2 linked regions of the Stegostoma tigrinum genome follow. The protein of the gene in region 1 purifies or fractionates together with the protein of each later gene. This does not show direct contact. Links are inferred from orthologs where the notes say so. Each region holds a gene or a part of one and is shown in the gene's direction. Other genes may lie near its edges.

Region 1 (8,019 bases):
CTATTATGTCACAGAGCCCACCCCTTCTTATCCAAGAAGAGCCCTTTGTAACATAAGCATGATTCTGTGTTCTGAGGAAGAGTCACTGGACCCAAAACGTTAACTCCAATTTCTTTCCACAGATTCTGCCAGATCTGCTGAGCTTTTCCAATAATTTCAGTTTTTGTTTCTGATTTTTAGCATGCGCAGTTCTTTCAGAGATTTTTTATTCCCATTATAACATACCCTAACCTTTAATGTTTTAACAGAGATCTGTAGCTTGGGTATTTGCCAGTTACTCACAGACACAACCACAATGAGCAGGACAAATGTGATACATAAAATACCATGCAGCAACTGTGAGAAAAATGAACACGAACTCACAGCAAAACAACACAACAAACTCTCCCCTCGTTTGACTACACTCTGACATAAAAGGACTTGAATTTGACTGGGACAAAGTCACAGTAATAGGACAAGCAAGATAAAGACAAACAAGCACTATAATTCCTGGAGGTCTGGTTTTCAACCACTGGTGCAATAAGCAAACATGTTGAAATTGATCCCATCTACGTACCACTTAGGTACAAAACTGGAAGCGACTATCCACCAAGACAGACCGGACCATATAAATTCAGAGCAGAACAGAACAGTGCTTCAAGGAAGGCGAGACAGCACTGAAGGTGTCACTTAGAAAGGAGACAAAACGTTTGCATGAAAACCAGGCAGCTCAGTGAACGAACCAACAGGGCAGCACAGTGGCACAGTGGTTAGCACTGCAGCACCAGGGACCCGGGTTCAATTCCCGCTTCGGGCAACTGTCTGTGTGGAGTTTACACATTCTCCCCGTGTCTGCGTGGGTTTCCTCTGGGTACTCCGGTTTCCTCCCACAGTCCAAAGATGTGCAGGCTAGGTGGATTGGCCATGCTAAATTGCCCGTAGTGTTCAGGGGTGTGTGGTTATAGGGGGATGCTGCAAGGGGCGGTGTGGACTTGCTGGGCCGAAGGACCTGTTTCCACACTAGGGAAACTAAACTAATATCCCACCGTCTGGTTTCTTTGTCAACTTATATAAAACAGTCAGCTTCTTTACGCATATACACACAAAACAATTATGCCTCAATTCCTCCCTTTTCCAGCTGCCAACTTTGGTCATGTTTCCGGACTGTCTCCTGCCCCAATCCATCATTCAATTATATAGCCTTTTCTGGGCATCACCAAAACTTCTATAACTGACTCCCTCCCATTCTTTAGATGACATGTCCATCATGGGCCTCCTGCACTGCCACAATGATGCCACCCGAAGGTTGCAGGAACAGCAACTCATATTCCGCTTGGGAACCCTGCAGTCCAATGGTATTAATGTGGACTTCACCAGCTTCAAAATCTCCCCTTCCGCCACCGCATCCCAAAACCAGCCCAGTTCGTCCCCTCCCCCCACTGCACCACACAACCTGCCCAGCTCTTCCCCTCCACCCACTGCATCCCAAAACCAGTCCAACCTGTATCTGCCTCCCTAACCTGTTCTTCCTCTCACCCATCCCTTCCTCCCACCCCAAGCCGCACCTCCATCCTTTGATGGGTCTAGGCCCGAAACGTCAGCTTTTGTGCTCCTGAGATGCTGCTTGGCCTGCTGTGTTCATCCAGCCTCACATTTTATTGTCCTATATTCTCCTTTTCTGTGCTGATGAGTTATTGCCTGTCCTTATCCTCACTGATTCCTGTGCAGCCTTCAATGCATTTGATGAACACTCATTCTCCAACACCACTTCACTGGTGTCCAATTCCCTGGGACTGCACTTTCTTGATTCCATTCTTATCCATTTACTTGTCACCAGAGGATACCTGGAAGTGATTTTTGTAATTACCAATAAAGTGTCACCTCTAGGCAACACCAAGGACACCTCTTTAATCCTTGCTGTACAAGCTGCCCCTCAGTGACATCACCCATAGCCATGGGTACCACTGCTACACAAATATCAAACATTTCACACAACCTCACCACTACGTCAATGATGTTATACTACTTGATGGAGAAACTGAACATTGGAAAGATCAATATGCATGCTTTTGGCTCTGGCCATAAACCTTGTACGGCAATTCTATCCTAACATAGCAACCTAACTAGGACCAAATTAAACTGTTCCAACCTCATATCTTCCCGATCAGAAAGACCACTAAATTTCATATTGCGTATGTCTATCCCTTTCTCAGCCCATATCCTGCTAAAACCAGCCATTCATCCACCTGAGATCAATTACCTTGACATTCTCCTGGCCAGCTTCCAGCCCCCATAAACTTCAGTTGAGCCAAAGCTCTGCTACCTGTACATATCACAGGTTAAGTCCTGCTTTTTCAGTAACCTCACCATACGCATTCCTTGGCTCCAGATGTCAGAATGTTTCAAATTCATTTCACCGAAATCTTATTATTCTAATAAACATTTCCACCCTTACAATCACACAAACTTTTCTTTTACACACAGTTATGTTACATACCCTCATCCATTCTCTTTAAGGCATTAATTTAAGCCTGCTTAATTCAATGATAAAGTGTGGAAGTTGGCCATTTGGCCCATCACATCCACACTGACCCTCTGAAGAGCATTCCACGCAGGTCCACCACCTAGCCTTTCCCTGCATTTCTCACCCTAGACCCTATGGGCAACTTAGCATAGGCAATCCATGCAATCTGCACACCTTTGGACTATGGGAGGAAACCAAAGCACCTGGGGAAACCCACACAGACACATGGAGAATGTGCAGACTCCACACAGACAATCGCCCAAGAATCAATGATAATGGGAACTGCAGATGCTAGAGAATCCAAGAAAGCAAAGTGTGAAGCTGGATGAACACAGAGATGAAGGGTCTAGGCCTGAAACGTCAGCTTTTGTGCTCCTGAGATGCTGCTTGGCCTAATGTGTTCATCCCGCTTCACACTTTGTTATCGCCCAAGAATCAAATCCAGATCCCTGGTGCTGTGAGACAGCAGTGCTAACCACTGTGCCACAGCCTTTCTTTGGAACATCAGCCCTTTTTTTCACATCTGTGAAGTGCTTAGGAACTTTTGTCTATGCTATAGATGGTATATAAAAGCAAGTTGTCATTGAAATATTTCAGATATATTTATTCAATTACATAGACTTACAATGAATGACTTATTATACATCACCCTTAAATGGTAGAAAATGAAGTGTCTGTAAAAACAATGTGAAGAAAGCTGGTAGAATGTCCCACTTACATATTTCCCATGCCCATTAAAAATAAATTCTGAAAAATTGGTGGAGAAAATCTATGCCTTGATGGGTAGGCGGTAAAGGAGAACTGAATCCACAATCAGATAAGCCATGATTACATTAAATAGTGAGCAGGCCTGAGTGGCTGAATAGCCTACTGATCATAATTTATGTCTGTATATCTTGGTCACTGGTTTTTCAATTTAAAATCTGACATTTGTCAAAAAACAGCGACAGTATTTCTTAGTAAATACGTTTTTTAAAATCAAGTAATTTTCTAGCACTGTTACTTTCACCTTAAATCATAAAAACAATGTAGAATAGCAAGGACTAGAAAAGAGCCTTTGAGGGAGCTAAAAATCTCCCATTAACTACTAATATGAAAAAATAATCAAAGTGTATGTTCAAAAATACTTGTGGAGTAAAACAATATACCGAGTAGTGTTGTAGAACTCATGTAATAGTTAATGATACTGATTGCATCAGTACTAAGTGGGTGTAAAGCTAACTCATTTATCACTGCAGGACTCAGCCTGCCATAAGCCTAGCAAGCAGTTACAAAGCAGTGGATAACTTGTGGATTTTGATGATATCATAAACATCCATATCATCAGACCCACAATATTTGGTGCCAATGTAAATTCATTTATTTTCAATATATCCAGGCAGGATAATTTAAATTGTTGAATTCAAAGCTTCTCTCAAGTGAGTTGAAACCCCAAAGCAGGTTGGTACCCTTATGGATTGGTTCTTGAATTACAATCTTTTAGCTTTAAGATTCAAATATTAATTATACTGCACGTAAATGTTGGTCATAAATCTCTCCAACTGCACATGCAACTTCTTTTGGGGGTCTATAGTTGATGCACATATAAGGAAAAATCTCCAATATTTTTGCATTGTTATTATGATGAATACATGATTTCTATTTAAGAGATTGTGTTTGAGTTTCTTCCTGTCATCAGATTGTGCGAGAATGGTTTAGTATATTAGTTCCAGTAACATCAAAAGTTAGCCCAATCTGTTTGAGTATCCGATTCTTCAAATAAATAATATCGGAATTTTAATTTACCCACACCCCTCGTCAAAAGGCCGATTAGTTATCAGCTTAATGACAAGTAACAATGTTGTGACAATTGCTTTTGCAATTGGGGAAGCATTATCAAAATATGTGGGCTTTGGCATTTTTTAAAACTTAGTGTACTACTGTGGACCATGTTGTTCACTTGCTGCAGAAGGGCACGACTAATAAAAACACAGATATTCCGTTCAAAACAAAAAGAAGTCTCCTTTATATCGTAGTTTCGAGATTGCCGGTGTATAGTGACTATGGAAATCTATACAGCCTGTGTTAACTGGCTTTATACCAGAAAATCATGAGAATAATGTCGTTGCTTGCACCGAGGCATTCTCCCAGGTTTGTTTCATTACCACATCAGGAGTACAGCCAAAGACGTAAAAAAAAGTCTCCTAATCTATGCACCAATTATCAAATCCTGCCCGAGAGGTCGAGTTGCAGTCATGCACCAGCTAGGAGACTGAACATTCTCTAGGATGCAATTAGTCCAACTTCACGATGTAAAATGAGTAGCCTATCCCCTGATCTTCGTAGGAAAAGAGGAAGGTTGTGTTTGGTAGCTGATGGTGTGCACATGTGTGAAATAAGGAGTGGCAAGACTTATTCCCATTCGAACTATATCACAGACTGGCACAAGAATCTGCCGAACGATTGGCGGAATGGTGAGAAGTCTCGCGATGTTTGTAGAAAATGACAGAACGGGCGGGGGGTGTAGGTTTTCATTTGGCTTTCTCAATAGCAGTGCAATAACAATGCGATGAGGAGAATCTGAGTGCAAGCGAACGCCTAAACCGGGTTGCTTTGGTTTGTTGTTGTTTGTAACGCAGACAGCAGAGAGAGAGTGTGTCGGCAGGATGAGTGAGGAGGAGGAGGAGGAGGCGGCCAGTACCTCTGGCCAGGGGGACACGCTTGGGGTGAGTGTGTAACAAAGTACCGGCTCATTGTTTCCAACTTTGTATCCATTGGCGATGGAACGCCGGGGGAGTAGCAACGTTCGGTGGCGGGAAAACACCGCCGTTCACCCTGAGGGACGCTGTTGCCAATCAGTTGTTCAAGTGCTGCGGGCTCCTGTTTAATAAAACAAACAAACACACACACACGTAACACACAAGGGTGCCGAGACTGCACTGTGACTGTTTATTGTCCTGCCGGAAGCACGGGGAGAAGTGCTTTTTATTTTTAAAAAAGAATATTATATAAATAAATATTTTAGCCTCAGTCCGTATTCGGGCCTCAGTTTGCGTGCTGCGCGCTGGCCAGTCAGGGTAAGCTGTACAGGAGGATAAAGCCTGGGAAGTCCAGGCCTTTGCTCTCCTTTCTGTACGTCAGCGCTGGCCACTTGCGTGTATCAATGTGCACTGAGGGACACTGGTTCAACTGAGGGCGAAAATAAACACGATTTTTAAAAAAAGAATACCGAAAGCGAATGTGGTTTGCAACAGTGACTTCGAACCCCCCCCCCCGTTTTAGTGTGGGAATGCTTAAAAAGGCTGCTGAGAGAGCTTGACATATGTAAATTGAGTTGGTGCAGAAACATAAATAACTGGAATTACACCAAATAAAACAAGATATTACAGCGGAACTAGATCACGTCAGGAGAAACTTACTCAAAACGGTAGCAAATACACAGCACCTTGTCACCTCTCCGGGAAAGCAAGACCTAATTTTGAAGTGCAGTGATTAACCTTTTATAATGGACATATACTTAGACCAAACGAGTTAGCAAAAACAAAAATATTGGTCATGTTCACGTTGCTCACATGCTGTGGTGTGAAGGCAGAATAAGCCTGCTAGAGGGACATTTTGATGAGCTGCATAGCATATCTCAACTGAGACTTATAAATTATTTCCTTAATAATGTGACAGTTAAAACTTGTTAATTGCATTCAAGGTCTACAGTGCTACCATCTTTATTCCCTTTGCAGTACATGCAAGGAAAAAGTTGGCTGCAAAAAGTGACTTTAATGAACACCACAGAACTGACTAGTATTTTGTGCTCCTGAGATGCTGCTTGGCCTGCTGTGTTCATCCAGCCTCACATTTTATTATCTTGGAATCTCCAGCATCTGCAGTTCCCATTATCTCTGATAGTATTTTCTGTCGTTTCCCTCCCCATAGTATGATCACAAGGGAAAAATGGTATGTCATGAGTTCAGTCCAAGTGGTTATAATTAATATGTAGTACTCAAACACTCCACAGACCCTGCTGTACCTGAAACCGCAAATAGTATCATGTCTTAAAACACCTCTACGTATTTTTATTGGCTTCCCATGATATCTGCCCACTCTTCAAGGTCCTAAAATGCTGTTGAATACTAAAATACAACTTAACAGCATCTCTCTCTCTCTCTCAATCCTTTCAAATACTGGGAGACCAATAACTCCTTCCTCACCTCAACTCCCTGCTCCACCAAACCCCTTAATCTGTGTTTAAGTAGAAACAGTTTTAAATAATGCCTTTAGGGTTTTATATCATCCCTTCCAGCCTGGGATTAATATTCTTCACTCTAAGGTAATTTAGTACATCATATTTCCTCTTCCTTGGTTCACTAAGTCTATACAGCCATCGCTGGCCAAGGGCTTCTTAGGACTGCCCAACTCAAAGGAAAACGGAAGATGACAGCCTCCCTCTCAAAGCTGTGGATGTTTCGACTAAACATTAAAAGAAACAAGTTCCAGAAGTCAGTAATAAAACTTGAGACCCTATTATTTACCTTGCTGTGTATAAACCAATCTAAAATGAATAAGTACAAAATCCATTTGTGGTGCGCAAAAACCCAATTGCTCTCAAGCCAGGCCCGAAATCTGTTTATGAGAAATTACCTTGGCTACTGAAATACTTGCAAGTTAATGATTAACTTCAGACACACAGAAAACCTACTGGTTACTAACTCAAAACACAAAAGCACAAACTCACAATAAATGGTTATGAATGGATATAATACACATCTGTAAAACATAGTTTGCTACACAGAAGTTAAGTTTATAGCTGCTGTGCAAAATGATTGAAGTAATGCGCCACTAATGTTTTTCCTCAGCTGTGTGAACAGGCTGGCCCTGAAGTTAAACAAGAACCTTCAAACGTGCAGGTATGTGAATAATATCACATTGGGCTGTGCAATCTAGAATGTACAAGGTGCATGACATTTATTCTTTAACTTTTGACACATCTGTGGTCTTCCAAGCTTGTTCTACATAAAACTTTCAGAAGTAGTTTCGTTCAAATTTCAGGTGCATCTTCTTGCAGCCAAATTTTTGTTGTTGAATAACTTGTTATGAAGTTATTTTTGATTTCCTGTTTTCCTAATTTTCCCAATATTTTAAAGTTGTTTTCAAAGCTCATTGGCTGTATGAAAAATGAAACAGTCATGGAATTACCCCTTCCCTGGAGTGGTGCAGCTAATGGCCAGAAAGCGTAGTGAGAATGAAAAAGTGAGAACCTCGATTTCGAGAAAAGAATGATTGATTTACCCCTTAAACTTTAAACTTTGACTTCAGAATCTTGCTATTGAGTGATGACTAACTTATTTTGATGCAATTGCATTTCATTATTAGTCCAAATCATGTCTCTGTAAATATTTTACATGTGTTGTGACCTTTTTCATTACATCCTGAAATGGGACTTGAACCTGGACCTTCTTGCCCAGACGTAGGGTAACTACCATTACATTGTAAGTCTCTCATTGTAGATAGATTTTATTAACTACTCATATTACAGCACACAC
Region 2 (7,283 bases), on another chromosome or scaffold:
TGCAGTGTCACTGGAAAGCAATAAAAGTTGATTAAAGGTTTTGCACAAAGCACTATCATACTATTTACACAGAAGAATTCAGGAACAAGTCATAAATGAATTTATGTGAGCACATGTTGTTTGGTTATTCTTTGCATAATTGATTCCTCTCAACCCTGGTCTCGAGTTTGCTTTTATTTCTAGAATGCAGGTTACACCACAGAAAAGTAAACAGATCCAAGTTTGATACAAAGTGCAAAGTTCCTATATTTCAAAAGGTCACTTCTTGGCTCTACAGGCACGAAATAACATTTCAACTCATTTTCATCAATTTCATAATATCTACAAACCTTTAAAGGAACAAAATCAGAGTCATCTGCAACCTTCTGAACCCTCACCGAACTGCCCTGTCAAAAATTACCTTTTATTCTGATCTTTTATTTCTTAAAAGAAAATACACCAATATCTCATGTTATACAGAATACTTGAAACATCCTCTCAGTTCACACCGTGGGAGATTCACCAATAATATATAAAAAGCTGTTACATTCCCTCAGTAACGGTTAACAGTTTGTCTTGCATTCATAGTTTTTCTTAGTTTGTGCTTTGATAAGTGCCTCCTCCCCAGACCCTTGATCAATACAGTACACCTCCAGATTTGTGAAATCCCCAACAGTCACACATCATTTTATCCAACGACTCACCAAACACAGAGGTAACAAGAATTGTAGACGCTGGAGTCAGAGTCAATACAGTGCGAAGCTGGAGCAACACAGCAGGTCAGAGGTGCAGGAATGTTGACATTTCAGGTTTACACCCTTCATCAGGGCTGGGGAGGGGGGCAAAAAAACAGAGCTCAGAAATAAACGGGGAGTTGGGTCAGAAGGAAGGAAGGTTGGTGACAGGTGAACACAGGTGGGGGCTGTAGAGATTGGTCAGTTGCAAGAGTAGGGTGGAAGGTAGGAAAGAAGATGAACAGAGTGTGTCAGATTAAGGAGGAAGGGATGGGAGGGAGGGTTAGACTTGGGATGAAGCCGGGGTGGGGGAGATTTTGAAACTGATGAATTTTATGTTCAGGCCGTCAGGCCACGAGCTCCCCAGTCAAAGTATGAGGTGTTGTTCCTCCAATTTGCGTGTGGCGTCATTGTGGCACTGGAGGAGGCCGGCCCAGGATGGACATGTGGCCCAGGGAGTGAGAGGGAAAGTTAAAATGGTTGGCAACCAGAAATTGTTGCTGATTATAGCAGACAGAGCACAGATGCTCTGCAAATCGGTCACCAATTCATCAACTTTACCAACACCTTTCACCCCAACCTCAACTTCACCTAGACTATCTTGGATACTCCTCCCCACTTCCTGGACCTCTCCATCTCCAGTATCTGTCTCAGCACCAACATCTATTTCAAAGCCACTGACTCTCGTAGTCATCTTGCCTACGCCTCCTCTTACCCACCCTCCTACAAGAATGCAATCTCTCACTCCCAATTCCTCCACCTCCACATCATCTGCTCCCAAGATGGAGCATTCTACTCCTAGTCAAACCTTACCCCCTCCGATGATCCAAACTGCCTCAACTGCATCTCCCGCACTTCTGCTCTGAAATCCCCACTCCTCAACAAAAATAAAGACAGAGTCCCCTGGTCCTCATATACCATTCTACCAACCTCTGCATCCAGCAGGTCATTCTCTGCCACCTGCAATCTGACCCCACCAGAGATATTTCCATCTCCACCGCTTCGGCCTTTTGTATGGGCCGCTCACTCCGTGACTTGCTCATCTACTCCACACTCAGCACCTTTCCCTGCAAGTGCTGGAGGTGCAACACCTGCCTCTACAACTCCTCTCTCACCTCTGTCCAAGGCCCAAAACAAACTTTCCATATCCGACAGGGGTTCACCTGTAGCATCCTCCAACCTTCAACACTGTATTCCGTTGCTCCCAATGTGGCCTCCTCTGCATTAGTGAGACTGAGTACAGACTAGGTGACCGATTCACGGTGCGTCTGCACTCTGTACACTATAACCAGCAACACCGTTCTGTTTGCCAACCTAACTTCCCATTAACATGTTCATCCAGGGCCTCCTCCAGTGTCCCAATGGTGCCACACACAAACTGGAGGAACAACATACTCGGCCTCTAATGGCCTGAACACAGAATTCACCAGTTTCATCTCTCCCCACCCCAGGGCCTATTTCCAAGTCCAACCCGCTTCCCCTCTCGTCCCTGCCTCCTGGACATGAGGCAACCTGTCCATCTTATCTCCCATCTATCAGCCCCACCCAACTAACTGACCAATTCTCACCAGTCCCTACCTGCATTCACCTATCACCATCGCACCTACCTTTCCCAGCTCCACCCCTGCTCTCTATTTATTACACAGCTCCCCTCCCAGTCCTGGATGCAGGGTCCCGAACCGAAACGTCGACGTTCCTCACTGCCGAACCGGCTTGATTCCTCCAGGTCTACACTGTATGTTGAATAAAGTGGTCATTTTATCTTCATTTGAAAGTTTTTTAAAAAAGCCAGTTTTCTAAAATATCCGCAACCCATTACGCAGTCGATTAATAAACCTCATATCATTGCTTACCTTTGGGCATCATCTGTATAATTTTAAAAACTGGACTTTGTTCAATTAATTCTTTTGCTCTGAAAAAGTGCATAGCTGGGGCAAATTTACCAGTTTTCATTCCTTCCATTATCTCCTTTGCTTTGATTCTCTTAAGTATACAATTAACCTGCAGTTCTTTTTCAGTCGAGAGGAGATTACCGCCTGTAAATTGGAACTGCTCCAGTTTTATCAAACTAGCTCGGTCGGCCGGAGTTGGAAACGTTTGACACACCGCAAACAAACAAAAGAAAAAGGAAAACACAGCTGCCTCTTTTCTGAAATTTGGTGCCTTCATTTTCAAAAGACCACACGGTTCTGTATAATATTCAAACGTTAGCGAGAACTGACGAGAACACGAAACGTGCAATCAATTATAAACTCAACTTTCGCTTCTGCAAAGATCTTGTACTTCCCTTTAAGGGGACAGCTGAAGTAACTGGACTGTTATTTGATATAGGAAACGCGTGCACCCACGTAAAGAGAAATTGTCACTTGTGTCCTGATGCCCATGACAGAAGGGTGACTTTTTTTAAAAAAAAGCAGTCACATCTCTGCTGATTACTCGGGGGCAAGGATAAGAAGTCGAATACATTTAACGCAATCAAACACCGAAGTAAAGGGACTGGGTGTTTTGGCAGGCGACAGCATTGAAATGGATGGGCGGTGCACGGTGTCACTCGCCCTTTCCCCAGGGAAGGGGGTGGGGGTGGGGATGGGGATGTCTTAGGGGAGTAAGGAAGGTTTTAGCCCGAGCGCGGGCTCCAGAACAACAACAACCGTTTAGAACGCGGAGATTCTGGGAATGGAACGTTGGGTGATCCAACAGAAACGCTCGCGCACTCTACCACTAGTTGCAACCTCCAACTAAACAACAAACGATAAGGCTCTCGACACCAATTCTAAAGTGCAGGAACTTAATATAGCAAGGAAGGAAACTAAAGAATAGCTCGATTATTCAATGGATAGTTTTCTCCCCACCCCAGTCATTCCTTCCCAAAATCCACAGACCAGCCTTATTAAACAAACTCGACGTTAAAACCCCCGGGGTGCGCACAATATATCCAGGCACTTCGCCCCACCTCCCCCATCCCAAAGGACAGCGCGGCTCAGCCCATTGGCTGGTACCCAGGAGACCTCTGCGTCACTTCCTGTTGGTGGCGACGAGCCTTTCTACTTTCTCGCGGGGGTGTCTGAGTTCCGAACGTGGCAGCGACTGCCCAACAAGCCGCCATTCTCCCCGTTGCCTCGGGCTCGGCCCGGCGTTCGCCATTGTGCACAGCAGGGGTGGAGGGCTGTCGGCAGTTTTGGTGAAGGGATGCGCCGGGCGTTGAGCAGTTCAGTGCGTCCTGGTCTCCCTCCGGTGTGTTGAAGGATTGGAGCACTCCCCTGTTGTTGTCCGGCCATCTGTTCCTCGCTGAGAATGGGGCTGCGAGATTGTTCCAGGATTACACACGCACGCCTGCACTGAGAGAGAGAGAGGGGAAGGAAGGAAGGAAGGAAGGAAGGGGAGAGAGAGAGAGAGAGAAGAGGAGAGGAATAGACCGGCAATGGCAGGCAGCGCACACACTTAACACCCAGCACATTCCTTACGCCAACCGGCACTAGGAGACTGGAAACAGAGGGGGTCTGGTGGAGGGGAGGGTGGGGGTGGAAATTTACACAAGGAAGCCAAGTTCGAGGAAAACTATCTCATGTGAGGACAGGGATTTATTTGATGCCATTTAAAATGTCCGAGGAATGTACATCTTCGACCGTTTCGGTAGAAGAAATTCGTTCTTGGTGGGAAGTACCCGCCATCGCACACTTTTGCTCTTTATTCAGGACAGCATTTGGGCTCCCAGACTTCGAAATTGAGGTAATTCTGTTTTTCCCTTCAATGAGTTATGAGACTTTTTTCTTTCCTGTAAATGATTAAGTTGCCTCTCGAAGCCCCTGTCATTTCAAAGAATTCAAAGTTAGTAATCATATGGATACAGGATGTCAATCTCGCCTCCCAGCTGCTGGCTCAATTCTATTGTGGTTCTAAAACGGCTCGATTGCAATCACCGATACACTGATGTGGACTTTAATCATCGTTGTTTACCTTTTGTTGTATAAAACGTTTGTCTTAGTTTTAAAAAGTTTAATAAAGTTGGTATCTCTTGGGCTTGAAAACGGGAGGACATGGTGTGTTCCTTTCGTAAAGGAGCGTGCCTTCCGATAAGGTGCTGCCGTTCTTCATGATCTGCTCTGCCACACATCCATCATAGCCATGGCATTGTTTAGGAGAAAGACGAGCCACATGCTGCTAACAAAGTTAGCTGATTACCCTTTTAAACTACAATTTTTAGTAGAAAAGCCTCCGACGAACAATATATACCCAATAACTTTTAAAATGTATATTTTAACAAAACGGAGTCAATATCAGCGTAGGGGCGTTTCGCAAATTGCTCGATTCATCGGCAAGGCGCAGAGTATTTCGGTCTATTTCGTCACTGTTGATAAAACACAAGTGTAACAAATTAAACTTGCTTAGACGATCTTAAATTCGATTTCTGGCATATAGGTCTTACAAAGAAAACAGCATGTTCGTTAACGTTCTGCAACCCGACTGGGAAACGAAATTCAGAGAATCATTCGATTTCAAGTAAAATTGAACAAACACAATCATTCATCCTGCTCTGTCCGATATCTTCTCTTCTCTTCCCCCCCCCTTTTTTTCCCCCCCATTGTTGTTGTTTTTGTTCGGCGAGTCTATTGTTTAAAGTTGTTTCTCCGGGAGGGAGGGGAGTTGAAAGGCTTAATTCACAACAAACGTTTGCTGTGATTCTGGGAGGAGTTTTTGTTTAAAATCCAAATACGATGACTTTTTTTGTATGTATGAAGTTGCAAGTGAGAAACCAAGTCCCTGACTTGAGTTGGTGTTCAATGTGTTTTAAACGTAGAATATGCATCTTGTGTGAGGCATGTTCTGCAGCTCTGATCAAAATTCTCTCTTGCTATCTTTGTGGGTCTCTAAATGTGTCAACCAACCATCAACTAGACTACGAATGCTCTGTTTATTTTGAAGGATAAGTTTGGTTTTTCCTTCGTTGAAATGCAACAAGTTGTTTATTTCCTCCATAATAGATTTCCAATTTAAAATACCTTGCTGCGTTGTTAGCGATATATGAAAGAGAACATTCTAGAAATTTAACATGTTGGTAGGACGAAGCGCCCACTCCTAAAATGGAGTGACCAGTTCCATTTTACCTTTTAACCTCCCGCTGCCCTTCTCTTTCTGCCACACCCCCCAACCCCCCTCCCCCCCCACCCCCACCGAAATCCATTCACTGGTTTGTTTGATTTCCCGTGCTTGCTGTAAATAGTCTGCCGATCGGTACCTCCGTGACAGACTGTATTCTCGCACTTTTCAAATTGTTTTGCTTGTGGGCCTAGTGAAATTGCTACTTTTATGCGTGTTCATTTTGATTTCACAGTTTGTTTTACAATCATGTTGCTGTCCTTGGTAGCGAAATTTTTTGGTTGAATACATACACTTTGGTTGTAGTTAGTGTGTAGTTTAGATAATCTGAGGTTGACGTTCATTTCATTTCTCACTGTGTTTACAGTGGCTACTTAAAAGTAGCAAATTGTATAACCAGGTAAATCTGTTTGGTTTGGGGTGTGGGAGTTTTTCTCAATGCGTAAACAATCTGGTACTGGTGCTTTACCCCATTGAATGAGTGGCACCAACTGCACATGGAACTCTTATTCCATAAGCCGTTTCTACTCATCATAACTTGCATTTGTACAGCACATGTGGCATTTATCAAGGTAATTTGAATGCTGTTTCTGGCTGGCCTTTATTCTGGCTTTGGAGTAATACCATTGTGAAATCGGATGACACAGTCCTGCAGTGTATGTTGATTGTGATGTAATTCTCGTACATTTAGCAGATGGCTGCATCTTTTTTTAAACCTGCCAGCTACTCGCATTCAGCTGGTCACTGGATGTGCAATTTAGAGACTTCATACCTAGCATGAAGTACATTGTTTGTGAAATAGTTACTTTTGATTCAATAACTCTTGTCACTGGTGGCAGAAATAGTAAATGCATTACTGCGGTTTCAATTCCTGGTTCTCTGCTGAGGTGCCTGACTTGAGTTACAATGAGCTTCACTACTTTAATGATAGTATTTGAATATGTAATGAAAATAGGATCTGGTTTTGGTGTAGCGCTCATGTGCGAATGCCTATTTAGACAAACATCAGATGGTGCGTGGCATTCATTTGAGCTGTCGACCAATATGATTCAGTACCTTCAGGGAAGAATGGGGAAAATAATGAACTATATACCAGAGGTGTAGCTGCAAAAGTAATTTTTTAGCTGTGTAAAACTGTAATCATTAATTTGAAACAAGCCATGAAAATGGAGGTATGTTACAAGTTTGTCTGGTAGTGAAACTCATTGCAGTTGAAGTACTGCAGTTGAAAGACTGAAAAAGATAAATGTGACCCTTTTTTGAATATGTTATTGTTGCTGCTTGTAGAAATATTCCCTGAATTCTTGGTGGCAGCTTTAAGGTAGGATCAGAACATGTACTTGGAGAGTTTGCAATAATTCTCATCCCATTGAAATCGCAGCTTAGTCTGTTGGAAAAATGTGGTTTAAAGAACAGATATATCCTTAGCAAATTTGAATCTTTATAAACTGAAGAAAAAGGAGTATATTTTTT

Evidence for each region.
Region 2: the proteins of smarca1 (region 1) and chromatin remodeling regulator CECR2-like purify together in Homo sapiens (affinity purification with mass spectrometry; 3 studies listed by BioGRID and IntAct, with this or other methods). This does not show direct contact. The link is inferred for Stegostoma tigrinum from reciprocal best matches to the Homo sapiens genes SMARCA1 and CECR2.

Annotation. Positions count from the first base shown.
Region 1 is NC_081368.1:32,753,563-32,761,581, reverse strand, and holds the start of smarca1 (probable global transcription activator SNF2L1), read left to right. Parts: upstream 1-4,967; 5' UTR 4,968-5,148; coding exon 5,149-5,208; intron 5,209-7,332; coding exon 7,333-7,383; intron 7,384-8,019.
Region 2 is NC_081371.1:27,549,080-27,556,362, forward strand, and holds the start of chromatin remodeling regulator CECR2-like, read left to right. Parts: upstream 1-4,251; 5' UTR 4,252-4,301; coding exon 4,302-4,442; intron 4,443-7,283. Other genes in the region: adenosine deaminase 2-like, read right to left, coding at 2,567-2,882. UniProt on the Homo sapiens protein: Regulatory subunit of the ATP-dependent CERF-1 and CERF-5 ISWI chromatin remodeling complexes, which form ordered nucleosome arrays on chromatin and facilitate access to DNA during DNA-templated processes such as DNA replication, transcription, and repair.